Linked DNA regions of Drosophila melanogaster. The protein of the gene in region 3 interacts with the protein of the main gene of each other region in a pairwise test. Each region holds a gene or a part of one and is shown on either strand. Other genes may lie near its edges. The genes, in order: CG17048, CG13494, Scamp and CG32638.

Region 1 (3,528 bases), on a different chromosome or scaffold from region 3:
TGCTGAATAAATCGCATTTTACCCTAGATTTAAGCTTTCAATTGAATACAATGGAATTTATTTATTGCTGTGGCCGATTAAAAATATAATGTCATTACTTAACTTAAAATAATACAAGGAAATGAAACGCATAAGTAATAAACATATTGTAAAATTATTGCTAGATATTTAAGATTTCTTTAAAGAATTTATAAACTTAAATCTTTGCACAGAAATCTCATTTAAACACTCCAAAGTATCCAATAACATTTGTCACACAAGAATATTTCAACTTAAAATAGTTTCAATTAAATACAAAAACCAAGTGACAAGCTGCAGACCGCAAAGGGTATCAACTGATCCATGTGTTGGCCAATAAACATTTAATATTCACATTTTCCAATATTTACTTGTTGGTCATTTTAAAGTGCAACAATATTTGTATAATATAAACAACTTTTTTGCGAGCTACATTTTGATTTACAGCATCAAAATAAACACAAATAAGGGCCCACAAAATATTGGTATTCGTGGATATCGAGATATATTGGTATATGTATGGCAAAGGGCTGATTCAGCATCGATTTATTTTCCTTTCGGTGCAATATGCATGCGTGGCAGCACTTTTTGTGCAAGCAGCCAAATCAGTTTATTGGCGCATAAAATTGAATTAAAACGTGGCTAAAATGGGGGCATGGCGACCACAGGGCGTATGAGCAATCGTGATACCAGCAACTTGGGCTTCCACCATTCAAGCAGCTTTTCTAAGAAAACGCTTATCTATCTTGTTGGCTAAAAACTCATTAAGGTGGTCAAAGGACAAAGGACGAGCCAGAACAAAGCACATTCCAGTCGCATTTTATGTCTTTTTCGTTTAATTAAAATCCACTGACAAGTTTGCATAGATCTATCTTAATACAAATATACATATTTCGTAAACGAATTCACCAGTAAAGCAACAGCAAATAAAAGGGGCCCAGACTGAGCACCATCAGCGGTACCATCATAATACCAAATAGACGCCAGTTCTGGAGGAGATCAAGGGATTAGGATAGGTACTTTCTTGTCATTGGACACATCTTTTAACGTTTAAGTTTAAGTGTAATGCTTTCACATCCGCCACTACTAATTAGTAGTCACTTGATAGTGCTACGAAAAGTTACCCATGGAGCACTTACATCGTGGAACTGCCTGGACACCTGGCCATCCATGTCCAGGCTGCTCCGACAGATTGGGCAACGCTTGGCCACCCAGTTGCGAGCTTCCCTGTACAGTGCTAAACAGCTTTTGCAGAACGCATGATTGCAGTGCAGCTTCTCTGGATTCTGTATGCGATCCAGGCAAAAGGCACACATATCCGGCTGATCCCCATCCTTAATCGTATCGAACAACGATGGATGATCGCCGTTCTCACTGGAGTAGTCGCTCCGCAGACCAAAGTTCGTCGCATCGAGGCCCTGCTGTACCATTATGCCCGTTCGATTCTCTATGTCTAGTCTTCTAAATGTTATGTCTTTCAATGTATTGTATATGTGGCGATCGTGTAATAGTGTCTTCGTGTCTGGGTATTTTGTTTTCAATTTATTTATGTGATTTCAGTTGGGTGGTTATTTTTGTAGAACTAAAAATTTAGATAACACCCCCATGCCGGAAAAAGGGATTGACAGGTGGGGCAAAGCGGGCGCCGCCACGATTAAACTTTAATTAAAATGAACGACGATAAATCTGACCGGAAAACACCTTAAGCTTCTTCGCCGGCCAATAAAATTTAATTATATCAACGCCGAGCGCCAGGCATCGAATGCAATTAGTAGTCGACTTGTACAACTCAATTAGAAGAGAGTCTGGCCGGGATGGGATGAGATGGCATGGTATGGGCTTGGATTGGATGGCATGGGATGGCATGAGCTGAAGTGGAAGCCATGTGTCGCGTGGCTCGGCTCATCCTTTGGCTGATTTTTACGGAGGACAACGCTTTGCACTTTGGGGCAAACGACCGCAGACGCAGACGACAAAAATCGAACTTTGCAACTACTTGCAAGGAGCGAGGAAGCTAAATGACAAGACGCCGGCGATTACTCCAACAGGGTTTTTAATTAAGCCCGGCACTAAAAGTCACATCAGTCGAGGACAAGAAACCCATCCCTCGCAGGACGAAGGACGTCCCAACAAGCAGCTGACAAATTGAATCACTGGCGTCAGTTGCTCTGCAATTTAACAGTCGGTAACAAGCACATATTATTAACGCCGGCCAATTAGGTGGCCATATAAACCAACTATCCGGCATTTGCATCCTCAACTTGATTAAAAAGTTGCCAGTTCCAGTTGCCAGTCGCCATTGAAGCCAACTTGATTGTTTATTGTTCGGTGGGGAAAAGTTTTGCTCGGCAAATTGTTAAATTCTCAACTCGAATTAATTTGCCAGAGTTTCTTTAATTATGTTTATAGATGCCCGAGCAATTGTTAAGACACATCTACAGACCAGCCCCACCCACTTGCCAACTTTCCCCATTTCCTGATGCTCCACTTCTGCGAGCAGGTACTCAAATCCATACAGTCAGTCGGAAAAGTCAGAAAAGCCGGAAAATGCGGAAAAGTCGGGAAAGACGCCCAAAGACAAACGGCATCAATCTGGAAAACTTAGCAATGAGGCGGGCTCTGAACTTTATCTTTAGATTCGTTTTGTTATTATTTGCCTAAAGAATTAAAAGGAAATCAAGGCAAATGTTGGTGGAAGCAACGTAAGAACTAAGAGAACTTTTAAAATAAATACTACATGAAAAATGTGAAGAAAATTTGTCAATAAGAAATCGGCCATAAAAGATCCAACAGTATTGATAGAATCAAAATTGTGTTCTTTTGAATGAAACTTATATAAATAAGCAAAGCAATTTAAGTTTCTAAAATATTTACAACCCATGAATATTAATGGCAACTACGATTCGAACTGAAACTTAAATGGAAGCAAACCAAAGCCACTTAAACAACAGATCCTAATAGGTCCAAGTTGTAGTAATAAAGTAGAATAACCATAAAACCAAATATACTCAGAGCAATTCTCGCACAGTCATTCCTGAGAACGGCAACTTAATTAGAGCTGTATAGAAATCTGACAAGTCTTCGTTCTGATTTAATACTTGCAAAACTGTTCGCTTTTTTGTTCCTTCTATTTTCGGGTAAATCCTTTGGGCAATAGTACCCCCGAGTTTCCGCTAGATGACGCTGCACTCGTTGCCATTGCTACTCTCGCTAATGAGCTTTGTTACCGGAAACGCGGACCGACAGCGAAACACAGCAGAGCAGAGCTCATTTATGCTAAGCTTTTTGTGCATTTAGACCGCAAAACAAGGACACCGACCGACAAACAACTGTATCTATGGCTTAATGGGTTAACGTGACACCGAATGAATCATGGAGTCGAGCTGGGGCCCAACTGGCATTAGTGGGTTAATGTTTTAGCTGCAGAACGGGAACGGAAACGAAACGGAAGCGGAAACGGATGTTGCCTGTCCAGATTTCCGCCTCGAGGCGATTTCTCTGGCAATATTC
Region 2 (3,142 bases), on a different chromosome or scaffold from region 3:
TTGTCACACTGGCACTTTGGCCAAGGATTCTCTACTGGTAGATGCCACTTGTCCAGGAATCTGGTAAGTCCTGACGTTTCTCCTTAGAATTATGTTTGGTTAATGTTATATTGAACTTCAGTACATCCTTTTCCAATTACTCTGCCGTAATTTGGCAGGACCGCATTAATTTGTCGGCAAAATAATTCCTTTGGACTTCGATTCATACAAAACATATAATTTTATTAGCACAAGTTTCAGTTTTAATGACAGAATTTCAACGACAGTCAGGGTTCCCTTCCTATAAACTCGTCGCCTCGGCGTCTACAGCGAAAACAGAGAAAGGACTTCATACAACCAAAAAGGACGAGAACACCCATACAAGCACAGCAGGCAGCAATGATAAGAAAAATTACGACGAATATGAACAAAAGTCCCCAAGCACCTAGGTTAGTATCCGGGTGTCCAGTGGTTGTACGGTACGCCACAGTTGTCATGTTAAAGTCTATATATTCAATATCGTATTCAGATAGGGTTGTAGCATCCAACTCGGCCATAGCTTATGGGAAATAAATTGCAAATTTTGTTGCTTTCGATAATAGATTGAACCCTCTAAATGGAAGGAAATATGTATAAGGAAAATCACATTAAATTAACGAATGCTTCTCACCGTTCCTTGCATAGCAGCTTAAGAATTTCGATGACCCTGACCCTTCAGAAATTTTATTTTGGGTATAGATTTTTTTTTAATTTTAAGAGTACAGTCGCAGCTTACTGAAGTCGATATTTTTTTGTACTTTAAATTTGATTTTTGGTTGCCATATATTAAGTTAATAGATATCATTTCAAAATTAAGCTAGATTTTTTTATTTTTTATGAATAGACAACAATTTTGCCAATGAGCATACGGATGCTCCTAACGAATCTGTACCTGAGCACATTAAATTTATAGGCTTTCGAATCGCATATCCTAGCACTACGTACATATTAATAGAAACTTGAATTATCGCCGAATTAATCATCGTCCAAGGTGCAGTCCCCACAGCCGTCGCCACAATCGCCACACCCGCCGCCATCGCCGCAACATCCACCGCCGTCATCGCCGCAACATCCACCGCCGCCGCCTTCACCACAACATCCTTCGTCGCAAGCGAGGCACGCGGAGCAGGCGAGTCCGCAACAGCCGCACAGGCAGAGGAGCGGCAGGCAGATGATGAGCAGGCAGCAGAGGAGCACCATAACAACGATCAGGACAATAATACCGACAGCCATGCTACCCGCCTTGGCGGCCTCTGTAGTGGTGGTGGTGGCGATCGTGGTGCTCCATGAGGATGTTTCCGTCATCCCGCCTTCTACCGTTGATAATGTGTCATCCATGATTAATCACTTGTTGACGGTATTGAAATGTTTAACGTTTAGCTTATTGTAAATTAGAATAAATTACAAAAATTCAGACAGCAAAGTTGAGTGTGTATTCAAAGACTCCTTCAGCACAATTTTCATATGTGCCCACTTTCAATTTAGCATCATATTTGGTTTTAAATATATTCAAGTTCCCCATCTACGAAAGACAAAAGCAAAGAAGCTTATGGGCATAGGTGCATTCGTCACGCTTCCACACGAAGCGACTTCTAACGATCAATCGCACTTAAAATCCTTTCCACAAAAGTACTCATTAAACCCACGAACACACCACCCGTCATACAATGCCCATTCGAATTGTATAATAATTAATGAAATGCATTAACGAAAGCATTTTGCGGGTGGAACTGGGATTGGGTTGGCAGAGAGGGGTGGTCCTCGAACGGGGATCTGGGGAGCTGTCCCTGAGCTCCTGTGTGTACCTGCGCTCGTTAGCGCTCCAAACACCCACTCTGCGAAACACCCCCACTTTAACTCATATGCAAAAAACACACCCTCGCCTCACGCCATCATTATCATAATTTGAATGTGATGCGAGCTTTAAAATATTCATGCGAGTAGAAAGATTTTTTTCAAGTGTGCGCACGTGTGCGCCTGGGTTCGTTATAGGGAGCTGTTTACTGTACCAAGAGGTCGTTGATTATAATGACTGTATTTTGTGCGCTGATTACTCCACAGAGAAAATTAAGAAAATGAGTCAACAACTTAATGCAAAAAACAAAAGGAAGCTCTTCGATAAACAGCGAAATGAATATATATTTTTTCAGATATCTATCTGTTTCGTGCATAATAAATATAAACTGCGTTGGACTTCAACCATAATTAAACACTGAACATTGTGTTAAGTAACTAAAGGTTGATCAAACAACTCCTGATAATATACTCACCGGGAAAGTAAAAATCCACTTCTCGTTCTGAATCACAAATCAGTGATTGCAATTGGGAACTATTAGACACGTTTGTCGGCCAATTGGCGGTGGCAGCATTGAAAGCTCATTCAATTCACTGCCTCACACTGACACCCACACTCAGACATGCATTCACCCACACCTGCAAACTCACTCACACACACACACACATACACACCTTTAACATATAGCATCATGGCACACGTGGCTGCATGTCAAAGTGCAAAGTTTTGTGCCACAAAAAACAAGCTGCGAGGGGTGGCAATGTGGGTAATGGCAGTCAAAAGCGCCGCTTGTCGATGTTTTCTGAAAAAAGAAGGAATGAAATCGTAGGGGAAAGCAGAAAAAAGTTACGTTTTTCACGGCGTTGTTGCTGGCAACCCTTTTAGCTCTGGCAATTTAAACTCGCCCGCTCCAAAGTTGCCCACTTGCCATATCCTGTCGCAGGCGTTGTCCTTGTTGTTGCTGCGGTTGGTGCCTCCGTGTAGTTGCCGCATCCCTCGAACGGCTGAGGATCCTCAGGGGGTTAAGAGCTTTTGGCTGCGGGCTGAGGGGTAACTGCGTGGCATGCAATGCGCGATTGCACAAAGTCAACTTGCACATTAGAATTCGACGAAGGATGAGTTGCAGGGCAACGCGTTGAAAGGCGGAAGGACTAGGCTCATCTGTCTGCGATTCCATCTCGGGGTAAAACTGAATACTAAACAGGCGTCTTCACTACACTAAATATATTTTCAGAAACTATTTAAATCTAAGAAATGGATTTATAGCAAGTTAAGGCTATCTTTCCACTTGAATAGATGCGAATGTAAAGAAAATCATCTTCCGGCAAA
Region 3 (6,479 bases):
GCATTTCCAGGAACATTCACTTTCGACCATGTTCAATCGTCTTAATTACCGACTGGCTTACGTAAACTTTTCTTCTTGCTAATTGATTTTCCATCGAATGAGTTCTCGAAATCAAAGGTCTTCGTGCACTTTTAAATGACATTGTACATTTCCTCTTAATTAAGAGTCGATTATGGCGGTAATCCGAACTATTTGCCAGTCATTTTGTGGGGTTTTCAATTTTATTGGAATTTATTTATACAAAACAAACTCAAGATTAAAATCTATAAGCAAACTGACTAATATAAACACAAGCATTGATGGCAGTTCTATCTATTATATAAATTGTGTAAATACCTCCATGCAGATAACCAGCAGTAATAAACCAAGAATTTAAGCCTGATTATTGCGTTTCAAGGCTGGGATTTGCAGATAAATAATATGAATATCTCAAAAGTCTTTATACCCCTTTAATTACGCACCAAATTATGCATTTGAATTCTCTAGAAATGAGTACCAAACAACCCATAAATTCAAAATCAATGCTTATTGTACATCTATAAGTATTTTATATTTATTTTGGAATTTATCATAAATTTTGCTTGAATTTTAAATACACATCCATAGATCGTCATTAGCTATTCTCAATTCAGTTTTAAATAGGTCGTAACATAATAAGTTTGACTTGCAAGCAAAACAGAAACGAACAAAATGTATCTAAAAAATGTGAATACTTAAGTGAATCAATATATTTTATATGCTGTCTTCATGTACATAGATAATAGATAATATATAACAATTACGATTACAAAAAAACACGACATTTTATGTGAGTGCAGGACAGTGACGGCGGAAAAAGGGGGTCGGGACATGGAACAGGGGGGAGGGAGGAGAGGGGGACAGTGGAGCAGTGGGCGTAGGAGCACAGCTTGGATGAAAAATGAATTTCGCTTTCTTGTTGTCTCTCTGGTCGAGGCGACGAGAGATAAAGTTCTATAATGTAAGCGTTAAATATATTATTTATATTATGTTTGTTATATATATAAGATCGTATATATGTGAGTGTGTGTGTGTGTGTGTGTTGCGTGTGCGAGGGAGTGGGGTTATTCCTATATCGTTTTAATGACTTAAAGAACTAGAAAACATCATCATCAGCAGCAGCAGCAGCAGCATCATCGTCATCAGTGTCATCCCTTTCGCCTGATTAATCTGGGTTAGTATCAGAATCGAATTATTCCACAGGACAGAGACAGACACACAATAATTTAGTCTAGATACTTGTATTTGGAGGCATATATCGTGCGATTAAGATGTCCTGTCTACTTGATCCGCTGCAGCTGCGTGTCGAAGGCATCGTGGGCCGCTTTAGTTTTCCTTTTGTTTTTTTGTTTTCTCCTTTTTGTTTGGTTTTTTTTTCACTTTCAGTTTAGTTCCAAGTTCGGTTTTGTTCCGTTTATAAATATTGTTTATGCATTGTGTGTTGTTTCTGTGTTATCATTACAGTAATTATTTGTAATAAAGACGACGGCATTCTAGGAATTGTTTATGCACAAAAGCAAATAGTTATTAGTTCCATGCTCCAATGCTAGCTTTAGTTTCATGTTTTTCTTTACTTTCATTTCGTGTTAAGCTATTTCAATGTTTATTAAGTGTTCTTTCTCCATCTCCCTCTCTCTGGCGCGGCTATCATCATCTTTTTCTGTCCCAGTTAAGCAGGATGAGTGCTGCTTGAGTTCGTGGTTGATTGATTGATTCTCCTTTTGATTTGATTAGATCCCCGGAAAGCAGAGTGTCACTTAGTACCTGCTGTTGTTAAACTGCGAATTGATGGCCGTATTAACGGCCGAGGAGGCTGCTTCCTGGACGTGCTGGTTGCGCAGAAACTCGGTGGTGAACTCCGCCTGGGCCTTGGCCATACTGGCCCCTGTGCTGCGGTAGATCGAGTGAATCTTTGTGATCATCAGCACATTGGCCACGGCCACCGCTGTGAAACAGAATGCCACGTTCAACAGCAGAATGCCGACGATAATACCCGACGCTTGCCCATCGAACTGCCCGATGGCCGTAATAAAGCCACAGTAGCCCATCTTGTTGAAGCCCACCGCCTGCACAATCGAGTACAGCGTTTGAAAGAAGTAGATGAAGAAGAAGACCATGAAGTTGAAGCTCGAATCGTTGCGGAATGCCTTGTACGCCGGTCGGAACCTGAAAATTAATCACACATCATCACATTATTCATGTTTTAAGAATCTTCCAGGTATAAACTCACCAGCAGACATAGGAGGCGGGCGAGAAGAGCATCGTGTAGAAGATGGCCAGGAAGAAGGTCTCGAATTCGCCAGCGTGGAACAGCAAAATTAGACCGCCTATCACGTTGGCCAACAACGTCATGGTGTAAACTGTCGGAGAAAGTATTCAAAATAGACACATACAATCAGCATAATGCTATAATCTGTAGGGGAAAGCATTATTATATACTATATACTATGCATGCAGTAAATAATGCTAGAAATGCATTTAAAAACTATCTTAATACTGATAACATGTAAATCAAACAAATTTCATGCTCCCCTCTTTGCAAGCATATTCTGCACAAAGGCACGCACACATCCAAGACCATTAGCCATTCAGCTATATCTGATTAATAATGGCATCGGCCTGTAGACGACACGCGATGACTAATTCCACAACCTATGGCACCGCTTATCAGCGAAAACATGTAGAAAACACAGCCATAAAGAACCAATACTCACAAATCCAAATGTAATACAATCGCTTGACCAGTTTCTGGAACTCGGGCGGTATCTCCACCTCGAAGTCCTGGTAGAAGCACGGCTTTACACAAAAGTTATCCGGCAGCGGTGGCCAGTTGTTCAGCTGCGGCACATTGCCCTGTAGCTGCTGCTCGCGGCGGTCCAGTTCGGCGGCCTTGCGGTCCAACTCCTCCTGCCGGCGCTGGATACAATGAAAATCATATGATTATCGACTGTTTTATATATACATTTTGTATGACTTAATAAATTGGCCGTATATGGTAAATACTTTAAATCTTATTCATTTACATATTTGGGAAAACAAAGGCGAAATTCAATGATAGGAATTCACATCCAAATCTTGAGTTTGTTAAACTTCTATCTTAACCTCAGGCATTTGGCCTATCTATAGGAAATATTCTGTACAAGAATAAAGTGCAAACTTAAGCCTCCAAATCATATGTATTTAGATCTACTAACTAGTATTTCTTGAATTATTGTGTAGGGCCGAAGAAGCCAAGTAAATCAAGAGAAACCGCAGTTTGCACAGTGAAGACTCGGCGCGGCAGCCGCTTCTAGTCTCAACCAGATAAATGCTCCAAAGCGGATATATCGTTGGCAGATCGAGATAAGCCCGCTTATCTTTCTGACTCTTGATGGAGAGTAAAATGTGATATGCCTGCCCTAATCCCGGCACTCTAGCAAAGTGATTACTGTACAGACTTTTAGGGCAAACTTTTAGTGTAACTGTGTGGTGTGGTCCATTTCGATTGTTTCCGAGTATTTGGATGTACATATGCGGTTTTTGGAGTATTGCGGATGTGGCCATGCCGGCACAGCACACCGCAGAGTGCTCACTGTTGTGTGGGCGGTAACGCGAGACGACCGGCCAAGTGGGTTACCTGCAGCTCCTCCGAGGTGATCTGTATGCTGGTGCTAGGCGCCGAGGCGCCCAGGGAACTGGTCTGCGGGGGCGGAATGTTCTGCGATAGCGGCTGGACCACCGCCGCCGTGTTCGTTGAGTTGATCTGCAGCTGCGGCTTGGCCTGCTCCTCGAATGGATTGTAATCCTCAAGAGAGACAAGGGCGGCGCCGCTCTGGAGTCGTCGTGCCTGCTGGATGGCGGGGTCCTGCGGGGGAAAACCGGGAAATCCCAATCAGAAACCAATTCATTCAACATATGTGACGAATGCACCCAACACACACACACACTACACTCACAGGCACGCACACCAACACCCCACCTTTGCGTACGTGTGCGTGTGTGTGCGATGGGTTTTTTCTTCGGCTTCCGCGCTCTCTCTCCTAGCTCTTCTATCGCCTCACCGCAAACGGATTGTCCAGATTGGGCTCCCCGAAGGGATTCTCGTCGAGACCGGAGCCGGACATGGGAATTCTACTTTGGATACGGCTGTTCAATGACCAGAAAAACGCACTGACTCGCACTTTGCTTTTCGCTGTGTATATTTTCCCTAAGACTCTGCTCAGTTATCGATGTCGGTTTTAGTGATGGTTCAGCATCGATAAGCTTTCGTTGGGAATCAAAGTGTAGGCCTCAAATATCGAAAGAATTACTTTAAAGAATTAATGTTATTTGAATTACATATTAAATTCATTTTGGCAGAAAAACTTATTATTTAACACATTTAACATTAATCTAGAATTCTGAAAAATGTGAATAACTGGTATACAATGGTCTGATTTTTTAGGACCTATTAATACATTTTATTAAAATGATAGCAAAAAGAAAAGATTCTATATACAATTGGATGTAAACCAGCAGTTATCATATGAATTTTAAATTTAAATGGCAACAATCGTGCCAATCGGAACTGCTCCAGCTGAACCAGCTGCGTGGAACCAGTTCCCATCCCTGGGGCCGCCATTCCGCAATTGGAATTCTAGTGTCTTGGGTTGCGATTCGATTCATTTACCGCTGCCCGCGTCTCCAATTCGGTTGTGTGCGATTCTGTCTGCTCCGCATCCAAGTCAAACATCCAATCCTTGCAAGAATGTCGAAGCCCAGCTACAAAGTCGGTGAGTTGCGTTATAAATAAACCCAAACGGATGGCAAACTCTCGAATCGAATCTCCGGCCGGCAACAGGCGACATGTGCGGGTGAATTGCATCTATTCATGAGCACATGTTTCTGAGGTTAAAAGAGAGACAAAACAGAGGAGAGCACGTTGTTGCTGGGGCAAAAAACGTAGAAATTCAGACCGTATGGTGTATAAATCAACAGTGCCTGCTTATCTGACCCTATCTCCCTTTTATATCCCACTCGACAGCCGATATCAGTCTGGCGGAATGGGGACGCAAGGCGATCATTATTGCGGAGAACGAGATGCCCGGTCTGATGGCCTGCAGGAAGAAGTACGGCCCATCTAAGCCCCTCAAGGGCGCCCGCATCACCGGCTGCCTGCACATGACCGTCCAGACCGCCGTGCTCATCGAGACCCTCGTCGAACTGGGCGCTCAGGTGGGTTCAGTGCCTCTTTGGCGCTCTAAATGATTTTATGCATCGTACCACCATTCGAATTGTATGCCCAACTGTAGGTCTGAACAGTCGGGATAATACACAAAGATAGCATCATTTCAATACTAAAAACCATTTCAAAAACCATAAAACCGACCAAAATTCCGTAAGGAAATTGTAAATTAGGTAGAAAGATAGGTATCTCCAAGCATTGTCCAAGGGCTGGTCCCTTATCACCTTTGGTTTACGCACCAATTTGAATAACAAAACTTTCGTTTAACAGCAGGGGGGCAAGTTCAAGGCGCCCAAGATAAGACCTCCAGATTGTTATTTCCTCTGACGCAGCACCATCTGCTTCAATCCTCGCACATGGCAACTATTTTCTGCCAAATGCTGATGTCCTGAAATACATAGATTTCCTGATATAGATCAATCCTATATGCAATGCAAATCAGTTTGCAAATATCTATATAATTTAGGTTCCTTCCCATCCACATCTCAACTTCAACGCATGAACTACATTTTCATTCTTTTATCCAGGTCCAATGGTCCAGCTGCAACATCTTCAGCACCCAGGATAATGCTGCCGCGGCCATCGCTGCCACCGGCGTGCCCGTGTACGCCTGGAAGGGTGAGACCGATGAGGAGTACATGTGGTGCATCGAGCAGACCTTGGTCTTCCCCGACGGCCAGCCCCTGAACATGATCCTGGACGATGGCGGCGATCTGACCAACCTGGTGCACGAAAAGTTCCCCCAGTATCTGAAAAACATCAAGGGCCTCAGCGAGGAGACGACCACCGGTGTCCACAACCTGTACAAGATGTTCAAGGAGGGTCGTCTTGGCGTACCGGCCATCAATGTCAACGATTCGGTGACCAAGAGCAAGTTTGACAATCTGTATGGCTGCCGCGAGTCGCTGATCGATGGCATCAAGCGGGCCACGGACGTCATGATCGCTGGAAAGGTCTGCTGCGTGGCCGGATACGGTGATGTGGGCAAGGGCTGTGCCCAGGCACTGAAAGGATTCGGTGGTCGGGTGATCGTCACCGAGGTCGATCCCATCAACGCCCTGCAGGCGGCGATGGAGGGCTATGAGGTTACCACCATGGAGGAGGCCAGCAAGGAGGCTTCCATCTTTGTGACCACCACCGGCTGCCGGGACATCATCACCAGCGTGCACTTGCAACAAATGCCCGACGATGCCATCGTGTGCAACATCGGCCACTTCGACATCGAGATCGACGTGGACTGGCTAAACGCCAATGCCAA
Region 4 (8,153 bases), 2.3 Mb from region 3:
GCGACGACATGCTGTTCTCCTGCCTGAAGATGACCAACACCTCGGCCTCGCAGCTGATGGGCTCCATCTACTTTAATCTGGTGCAGGTGCCGTGTCTGGACGGGCGGAGCAATCATTACAAGTTCCGTGCGGCCAAGGAGGGATTCTGAAGCAGGCGATCGGGGGGTTTTCTTTTTGTACAGGAGGTGGGGACGAGACGAGAGATGGGAGTCGCTCTATTTATTGTTTTACAAACGATGACGCCCGCTTTTTATTTTTCGAATATTCTGTTGGGTTTACAGTTAGCGTTAACGTTATCTAGGATAAGTATATAAAGTAGAATTGCAATCTTTGTTATACAAATACGAATATAAATATATATATATATATATATGTGTGTATCTTTAATATTTTTGATTAGCCGACTTTATTCGTTAACAATGTAAAAAAAAAGGTTTGTGTATATGGGACAAGGAAAACACGCACCTACACGTTTCTTTATGAAATTCCGATGCCGTATTTAACTACAATGCTTAACCTTAATCGTTGTCTCTCTCACAATATTGCACTAACAAAACAACGCTCAAAAAAAAAAAAAAAAAACAACACACGTTATATATATGTATGTATAAAATTTTGTTTCGCATTCAAATATTCTGATTACTTTCGGCAGCGACACTGACTAGTCAAGTCTTTCTACACATGGGTTGTCTTTGCTGTTCCATTGCGGAATCCGCTGTCTATTATCGTAGTGGTGTGTTGTCTAGGTACTTGGAAGGGTTGTCTTGGAGAGCCTAGAAAATGCTGGCCACATTCGGACCGGGCTGCGAATTGGTCGGTGTGGGCTGTGTGGGCCGATCGATGTCCTGATAGCTGCGCTGCTGGCTAGTTGGGAAGACCGATCCCGTCGGCAGTGTGCCGCCCCTCGTATTGAACTCCTTGTAGAGCAGGGCCACGCTCACCGGTCGCAGTATCAGATTGATGATGCTGAACGCAACGGCCCAGCCATCTGAAAATTAATAAGTTATTAGTATCTCATCGTTAAGCATCGATATCGTGTTCAGTGTAACGATAGGAACCGGCTGGATGACTTACTCATAATGCCGAAATGAAGAGAAATGCTGACTATATCAAAAAAAATGCTAGAAGCGTTGATGACGAGCGCCTGCAAAGAGATACGAAATGATATAACATGAGTGTGGGCGGGAAGTGATAGGTTGGGATAAAGGATACGACATACGATATAATCACGATTGAATCGTTAATGCTCAGATTTGTGTGGTTTAACTTAAGAAAAGAAAGCAGCCTTTTAGGCATTTCACGAAAATGTTTGAAAGCTGATTTTGTTGAGTTTAAATATTTTACATATGCTTCGGATGCACGTGTCCAACGCCACACGTGTCCTAATTCTGTTAATAATACGTTGGCCATTTTAAATGGTCAACATATGCTACAATTCAAGCAACCGCAACCGGGAAAATCCTTCACCCACTATGCCCAGCGCACTGCGTAGCACGATTCTTCAGGAAACTCAGCTCCAAGTTGTTGCAAACTACAATTTACATATTCGAAATTAAATAAATTATGTTCATTGATTTTTCTTTTACAGTTTGTCCAGAGTGCTGGCGAAAACGAATGGCATAGCCACTGGCTGGCCAAGGATTTGACATCGAGTTGCGTTCAACTCGGTTGACTAAGAGGCGTTGCTAATGGCTTTCGAGGAAGCAAACAAAACAAGCGCCGCCGGTTGGGAATCCTCGTTAAATGGGCATCGTAATGCCCGATTTATTAAGTACGACTCAAGGGCCTGTGGCCCAAAATGGGAATCGCGTGTAGCAGCTCCTTCAAGGAGTAAAGGTGGTAACTTCTTTGAGTAGATGGGTTGTATATGGATGGGAGTAGGCGGCATTTCGCTGGACGTGGTCACTTTTCGGTCGGTCTAAGGTCAAAGTTGAGCCATTCGCCCTCTTTACTTACGGCTAACTCATCTATAAATACACGCATACCCCCAACTTCACACGCAATTTGCCAAGCAAACCGGACTTTAATGTGGAAATATTTGTACACAATGCATTATAGATATTTGAATATATATGATATTCAATGCTATGATTATAAAAACAAAACTTGATTTCAAATATATAGTCGTAAATATATTGTAACCTTTACTTTAATTGATAAAAACTACATACAAATTATTATGTTATACAAATTTTTCGCTGTGTACATTCGACTTAAGTCCACTTTCATTAGCATACCTCCACGCGTTCAGACTCGGATTTGGTTTCGTTTTGCTTTTAGTATTTTGGCCATGCCACTTGACGGGTTGGACTCACTCGGGGGTGGAACAGAACATTAGAGATTAAAGATCGGGGCCGCGGGGAACCAGTTATGGCTCAGTTAGTCCCATAAGCGAGCAAATTGATTGGCCATAATAGCGCCACAACTTTTGGCATTCGTCGAAAGCAGAACCAGAGTTTTCCCTTCAAAGATATATATCTTTTCTGCCAGCACATATGACGAAGTCCCAATTGTAAATCATTTTGGGAAAGAATAAACCCATTGCTACTTGGATAACCCAAATGTGCTATCTTATCGTCACGAGAAGCGCTTTTTTTCAAGATTTAAGTATATATGCTTGCTTCTCATTCTTAACTTTGTGAGTTGCTAGAATTTTGCGATTCTTTCTCAAATGAAAGTAGTTTTCATGAATAACTTGCATAAATTCATTGAGTGCATCATCATCATACGAATCAATCATTGTTTTTATTGTTTTAATCTTGATTTCCTCGCTGGCACCTGATGTTCGTCGAACTATTTTAGTGAGAACATTTGTTATTTATATTTTGCATGTGTATGCTAATTGCCTACTGGCGATTTTTTTTTTTTGAACAACCGGTTTTGAACGATTTAACAAATTCCGTGGTGATATCGCTGTGAGTCGTCTAGCAGTTGATTAAAGCCTCAGTCAGCAGTGGACTCCAAAGGGAAATGCTATTCGTCTATATTGAATTAATTGGATGAACGCAGTGAACACACTGCACTATAAACATACTTATCTGTATAACAATCCTATCAACAATACTTTAATGACTCACAGAAAGCGATGAATGGAAAGCTATACGTAACTAAAGGCGTGACTACGAATGCAATCGCACTGCTACTTAAGTAAACTATATATGTAAACTATGCTATGAATTATATATCACTTTTTGTAAGCGTTCTTTAAGAAGTCTTAGCTATACTTTGTAAACCAATTTTAATAGATTGCTTGTCACAGTTGTGATACCCTCATTTGCAGGGTATGGCGAGCAAATTAAACGAATTAATTGAAGAGTCTTCTCAATTGGGAATATCAAATCTGGCACTTATCAATCGATCGCACTCACCGTTTGAATCGCTTCGACGGAGTCCTTGCTGTGCATCGACCAGAACATGGCGATCAGGAATAGAAAGTTGTAGAATTCATACGCCCCGTGGCCCCAACTGCCAAGCATGGCATTCGAGATGAAGAAGAAGTGCACAAAGGCCACAAGCTGTAAGATATATGTAATGTAGAAGCAAAGGGGAAAATGAGAAAATGCAAAGGGAGAACTACTACAAACTACATTTGGTTATATATGGTTATATGGTCATATCTGGTTAACACATAAGCATAATCATAAGCGGTTTAGTGCCAAGTGAAGCCCCACGAATCTGGCGGCGAAGTTGCCAATTGTAGTTACTAGCATCGTATCGGTTGTCATTTGCGGTTAACTACTTGGGGTGCTAATCACACAGCGACTGGCCATTAACCCATGGAGGCCCAACAAGTGAGAGTCGTACAGCAGCGTTAACCGCAATAGGTATCTTTTCAGTTTTTTTAAGATAACTTGGCCAAAAATTGTGCAATTTGTACAAATTAAACTGTTTTGAGCAGCTATTTATCATTGCTAACGATTCCCATCACTTTTTGAAGGATTTAGGGAAATTAATTTTTGGGTCAATTTTTTGCATTTTTTGTAAGGGGTAACATCATCAAAATTTGCAAAAAAATCGCGAAAAAATAGAATCCTTATTTTTGAACAAAGTTGGATTGGAAATTAAATTACGAGCTCAACGAGGTATAACATTCCATATTCAGACAATTATTTTAAAAGTTGTGGTAAAAAAAACGGATTATTTATTGACCGAAATTCGAAAAAAACGGGTTTTGCCAAAAAAGTGATTTTACAAACGGAACTTTTCGTCATAACTTCTCTAAAATTTGTCATATAGATAAAAGAATTACCTTTTTGAGCAGCTATTTACCAATACTAACGACGCCAATCATTTTTTGAAGGATTTAGAAAAATTAATTTTTGGGTCAATTTTCGCATTTTTTTGTAAGGGGTAACATCATCAAAATTTGCAAAAAATGGCGAAAAAATAGAATTCTTATATTTGGACACAGTTTAATTGGAAATTTAATTACGAGCTCATTGAGGTATGACATTTCATATTCAGGCAATTAATTTGAAAGTTGTGGCAAAAAAACGGATTTTTTGATCACATAAATTCGGAAAAACAGCTTTTGCCAAAAACGTAATATTTACAAATGGAATTTTTGTCATAAATACGCTAAAAATTGTTATATAGATGAAAAAATAACTGTTTTGAGCAGCAAATTACCAAGGCTAACGTTCCCTATCATTTTCATCGAAGAATTAAGGAAATTTTTGAATACAGTTCGATTTGGTATTTAATAACGAACACAACGAGGCATCTCATTTTATATTTGGACCATTATTTATAATGTTATGGTAAAAAAAACGGATTGTATTATGATAGAAATAACAATATTTATTCTTGGACAGAAAACTGCACAATTGGAAAATGTTTTTAGTGAAACGATGTAATTAGTTTATAAGGTTTTCCCGTAAGCTGTAAATTTCGCTCAAGCAGTTTTATTTCGCCCACACAAGTTGCATTAGTCCAGCTGTACATACAATGTCATTTATGTGTATTTTTTACTTATACATATAACGATGGCATTAATTTACTTATTTTCGTTCTACAACAAGTAATTTATATTTGCCGATATATGTATGTATATGTAGCTATATCCACTTTGAATGCAAAATAAGCATCCAAACACATGTAAGTAAATTTCCAAAAAAAGTTTTTATCTACTTTTCATGGCTTTTATTCCTTAAAAAACAAACACGTATGTTTCATACGCCCAGTTTAATTTTTTGACCGCTTCCGTAAAATTCTTTATCTGTTTCTTCTGTTTATGTGTGCCACCCAGCCAGTTGAACCGCCCTGCTGTTAATATTTTGACCGCAGCTGTACCATATGTTATCTATTTACCCTGTTTATTCTTTCCCCTAATTTAAATGAGACTTTTTCATTTATTCAGAATTTTTATCTGTTTCTTTGTTTTTTTTTTTTTGTCATGAGTTATGAGTTTTCCTAGTCGCCCATTGCTATTTTTATGGCTGCAATTGTTTGTTGGATAAGATGAGGGGGGTGAGTGCAGTGCACTGCTTGCTGGCCAGTGCAGTGCAATAGCGGCATCTCGTCTCCCGCATCGCATGCACTGCTTGCTTACCTTCACACGCACAAAAGGGGATCCCATCAGCTCGTTGAGGTCGGTCATGATGATGTCGCTCTCCTGCTCCTTCTCGCTCGCACTCAAATGCAGTTATTGCAGCGGCTACCGCTCTCTCACTCCCACTCCTGCTGCTGCCACACGCGGCGCAGACAACAACAACAATAAAACACAAAAAAAAATGAGTCGCACAGCTGTTTTGTTATTTTCGTGTGCAACAATTTGCTGAAATCGTTCCACTTTGCGTCTATTTTCACTTGCAATTCACTTTCAATTGGTGCTAAAAGCGCAATAGCTTCACTGTATGAGTGTATCTGTGTGCGTCTGTGCGTGTGTGTGTGTGTGCGCGCACTTGTTGGTCTTCTTTCGTTCTCCAAATGTTCTTGTTGTTGCTGCTGCAATATTTGGCAATCGCTGTTGTTGTTGCTGCCTTTGCACGGGGGCGTCAACAATGAACGGCGAATAACGAGTGATGTCAACAACTATTAGCTAGCCGGGGGCAAAAGTGTTATTTTCTTTTATACGCTGGAAGGCGTCAGCGCAGCAACACGACCAATTGCAATTTAAATTAAAATTGTGATGTGTGGGCCAATGTGACCGGTCGCTGTTCCGCTTATACATGCCAGTTATTATTTCGGTGTGACCGTAGCTATAAAATGCGACAGGCCGTGTTAAATACTGAATAATACCAATAACTGGTATTTTAGTTTATCAGCGATCTTCCTTCTCTGCATGTGAATGTGTGTGTGCGTGTGTGTCTGTTTATGTGCGTGTGTGTATGTTTGCGTGAGCCGCTGATAACGCAGCTGATCGGGCGATTCCATTGAATTCAAGTTTTCAATTCGCAGAGCATGGCCAGCAACTTCACCCAGTCCCAGCCGTCCAGGATCACCAGCTACATGGTCAACCAGCTGCAGCCGACGGCGCAGGAAACGAAGGTCAGTCAGACAATATCGGACATAACCTTGATCTCCTTGGCACACGGATTGTGTCTCAGTGAGATTATCGGAGCACCTACATACATATGTTAAATTCAAAAATGTATCTACTTGCAGTTGGCGCTGATTCCCAGTGCACCCCAGTGGCGCTCCCCCCAGCTGATGGTCGTCTTCGAGGACGGTGATCTGCACTCAGCGCGCCACCAGTTGCTCCAGTCCCTGCAGAATCCCTTTGCCGAGGGATCGGTGGCCACGTTGCTACTCCAGGAGAGCATTGCCGATCAGTTTGTGGGCCTAGTGGCGCAGGATTTGCGTCCGTTGTCGCAGGAGGTGTCCAAGCATCCGAGCTACACCAGCACGCTGGCCAAGATCGAAGAGCTGAAGGCCAAGACAGTACAAGGCGAAAGCCTTAAGGCTGGGGAATCACCCGTCTTGGTGTACGACTGCGTGCACAGCTATCTGGGCAATGGAGCGACGGGAGTGGTGACGGTGCACACATTCCGCACAGCCAAGGAGGCCGGCCAGTTGGCCAAAAGGGATCCCCTACCTTACGGCCAAGTTAGTCTGTGGAATGAGAAGCTGGGCTGCGCCTACGAACTGATACCACGACTACCGAGCGATATTGTGGCCATTAATTGCTTCAATCCGGACTTGGATCCCATCTGGGAATCCTTTGCTGCCGACCGCAACGATGTTCTGCTGGCCAAGAACTATCACTATGAATCGCTGGTGGTGAGCGGCAAACGGAGGATCGTCGTCTTTCCCGTGGGCACCATCTTCGGCAACTGAAGAGTGACAGTTCTGGACTTCGACGGCGACGAATCACATCCGGAAGGAATTACATCCAGGTGCTTTTTAAGCCATACTTTAAAATACCTCTCTAAGCATTTTACATGTAGCTTGGGGCATCCTTTTCGACAGTTCAATTGGAATTATATCGAACTAAATTAGGAGTTATGTCAAACAACTAGCATTTAATGTGGCTTAACTTAGAAATTATCTGATTTTGCAACCATCATAATATTCCAATTGTATTGCGAAAAGGTCCTTGAGTCTGAATTGTTTTTTTGATACTCTGTCAATAATTGTCCACTGAAAAATCATCAGCCAACTTTTATGCATCTGTGGGAATTTGGGGTAGGTCCACGAATCTCTGCATGCAACAGGCATTTTTTCAGGACATGCGCAAGTGCTGCTCCAGAAATAGAAATCCTGCAAAGCAGTTTAAATGGAAGCAGTTGAAGGGCACACTCATACACTTGGGGCCAAAATAATAGCGCTCATTTTAGTAAACTTAACATACTATGAAGTAAATGAACCATTTAACTGATAAACTGGTAATGATTTCAATGAAAATTTTTAAAAGAACATTTTGTTTTGTGCGAGCTACGCAGCGATCGATCAACTTAACCCTTTATCTTATCTATTTCATTGTAAACGGACAACAAATATGGAAAAATTTCCAGATGTAGAAATGTACATACTATGTGTGGAATTTAGGTTTTTGCTCATTTCTTTTGTTCTCTAACTAGAGCCTGCTTGAATTGACTTACATACATTAAAAGAGCTTGGCTACTTAAACGTAGCTATTGTGTTAGCCTGAGTTGTTTGAGTGTGCGTGTATTTGTGTTGGCAACTAAAGTATACTTTGCCTTTCTCTCCTC

What was found.
Region 1: the proteins of Scamp (region 3) and CG17048 interact in a two-hybrid assay, tested with the Drosophila melanogaster proteins (one large-scale study listed by BioGRID).
Region 2: the proteins of Scamp (region 3) and CG13494 interact in a two-hybrid assay, tested with the Drosophila melanogaster proteins (one large-scale study listed by BioGRID).
Region 4: the proteins of Scamp (region 3) and CG32638 interact in a two-hybrid assay, tested with the Drosophila melanogaster proteins (one large-scale study listed by BioGRID).

Annotation. Positions count from the first base shown.
Region 1 is NT_033778.4:13,352,886-13,356,413, forward strand, and holds CG17048 (uncharacterized protein), read right to left. Parts: upstream 1,615-3,528; 5' UTR 1,449-1,614; coding exon 1,158-1,448; intron 1,008-1,157; coding exon 924-1,007; 3' UTR 753-923; downstream 1-752.
Region 2 is NT_033778.4:21,953,417-21,956,558, forward strand, and holds CG13494 (uncharacterized protein), read right to left. Parts: upstream 1,430-3,142; 5' UTR 1,357-1,429; coding exon 994-1,356; 3' UTR 826-993; downstream 1-825. Other genes in the region: CG43405 (uncharacterized protein), read right to left, coding at 267-536.
Region 3 is NC_004354.4:15,445,647-15,452,125, forward strand, and holds Scamp (scamp), read right to left. Parts: upstream 4,238-6,479; 5' UTR 4,122-4,237; coding exon 4,059-4,121; intron 3,863-4,058; coding exon 3,635-3,862; coding exon of another isoform or gene 3,587-3,634; exon of another isoform or gene 3,213-3,586; intron 2,935-3,212; coding exon 2,733-2,934; intron 2,379-2,732; coding exon 2,249-2,378; intron 2,185-2,248; coding exon 1,776-2,184; 3' UTR 533-1,775; downstream 1-532. Other genes in the region: Ahcy (adenosylhomocysteinase), read left to right, coding at 4,745-4,769, 5,021-5,211, 5,749-6,479.
Region 4 is NC_004354.4:13,122,700-13,130,852, forward strand, and holds CG32638 (uncharacterized protein), read right to left. Parts: upstream 6,096-8,153; 5' UTR 5,600-6,095; coding exon 5,552-5,599; intron 3,516-5,551; coding exon 3,369-3,515; intron 1,145-3,368; coding exon 1,075-1,144; intron 989-1,074; coding exon 774-988; 3' UTR 177-773; downstream 1-176. Other genes in the region: CG42237 (uncharacterized protein), read left to right, coding at 1-149; CG15717 (uncharacterized protein), read left to right, coding at 6,403-6,489, 6,607-7,278.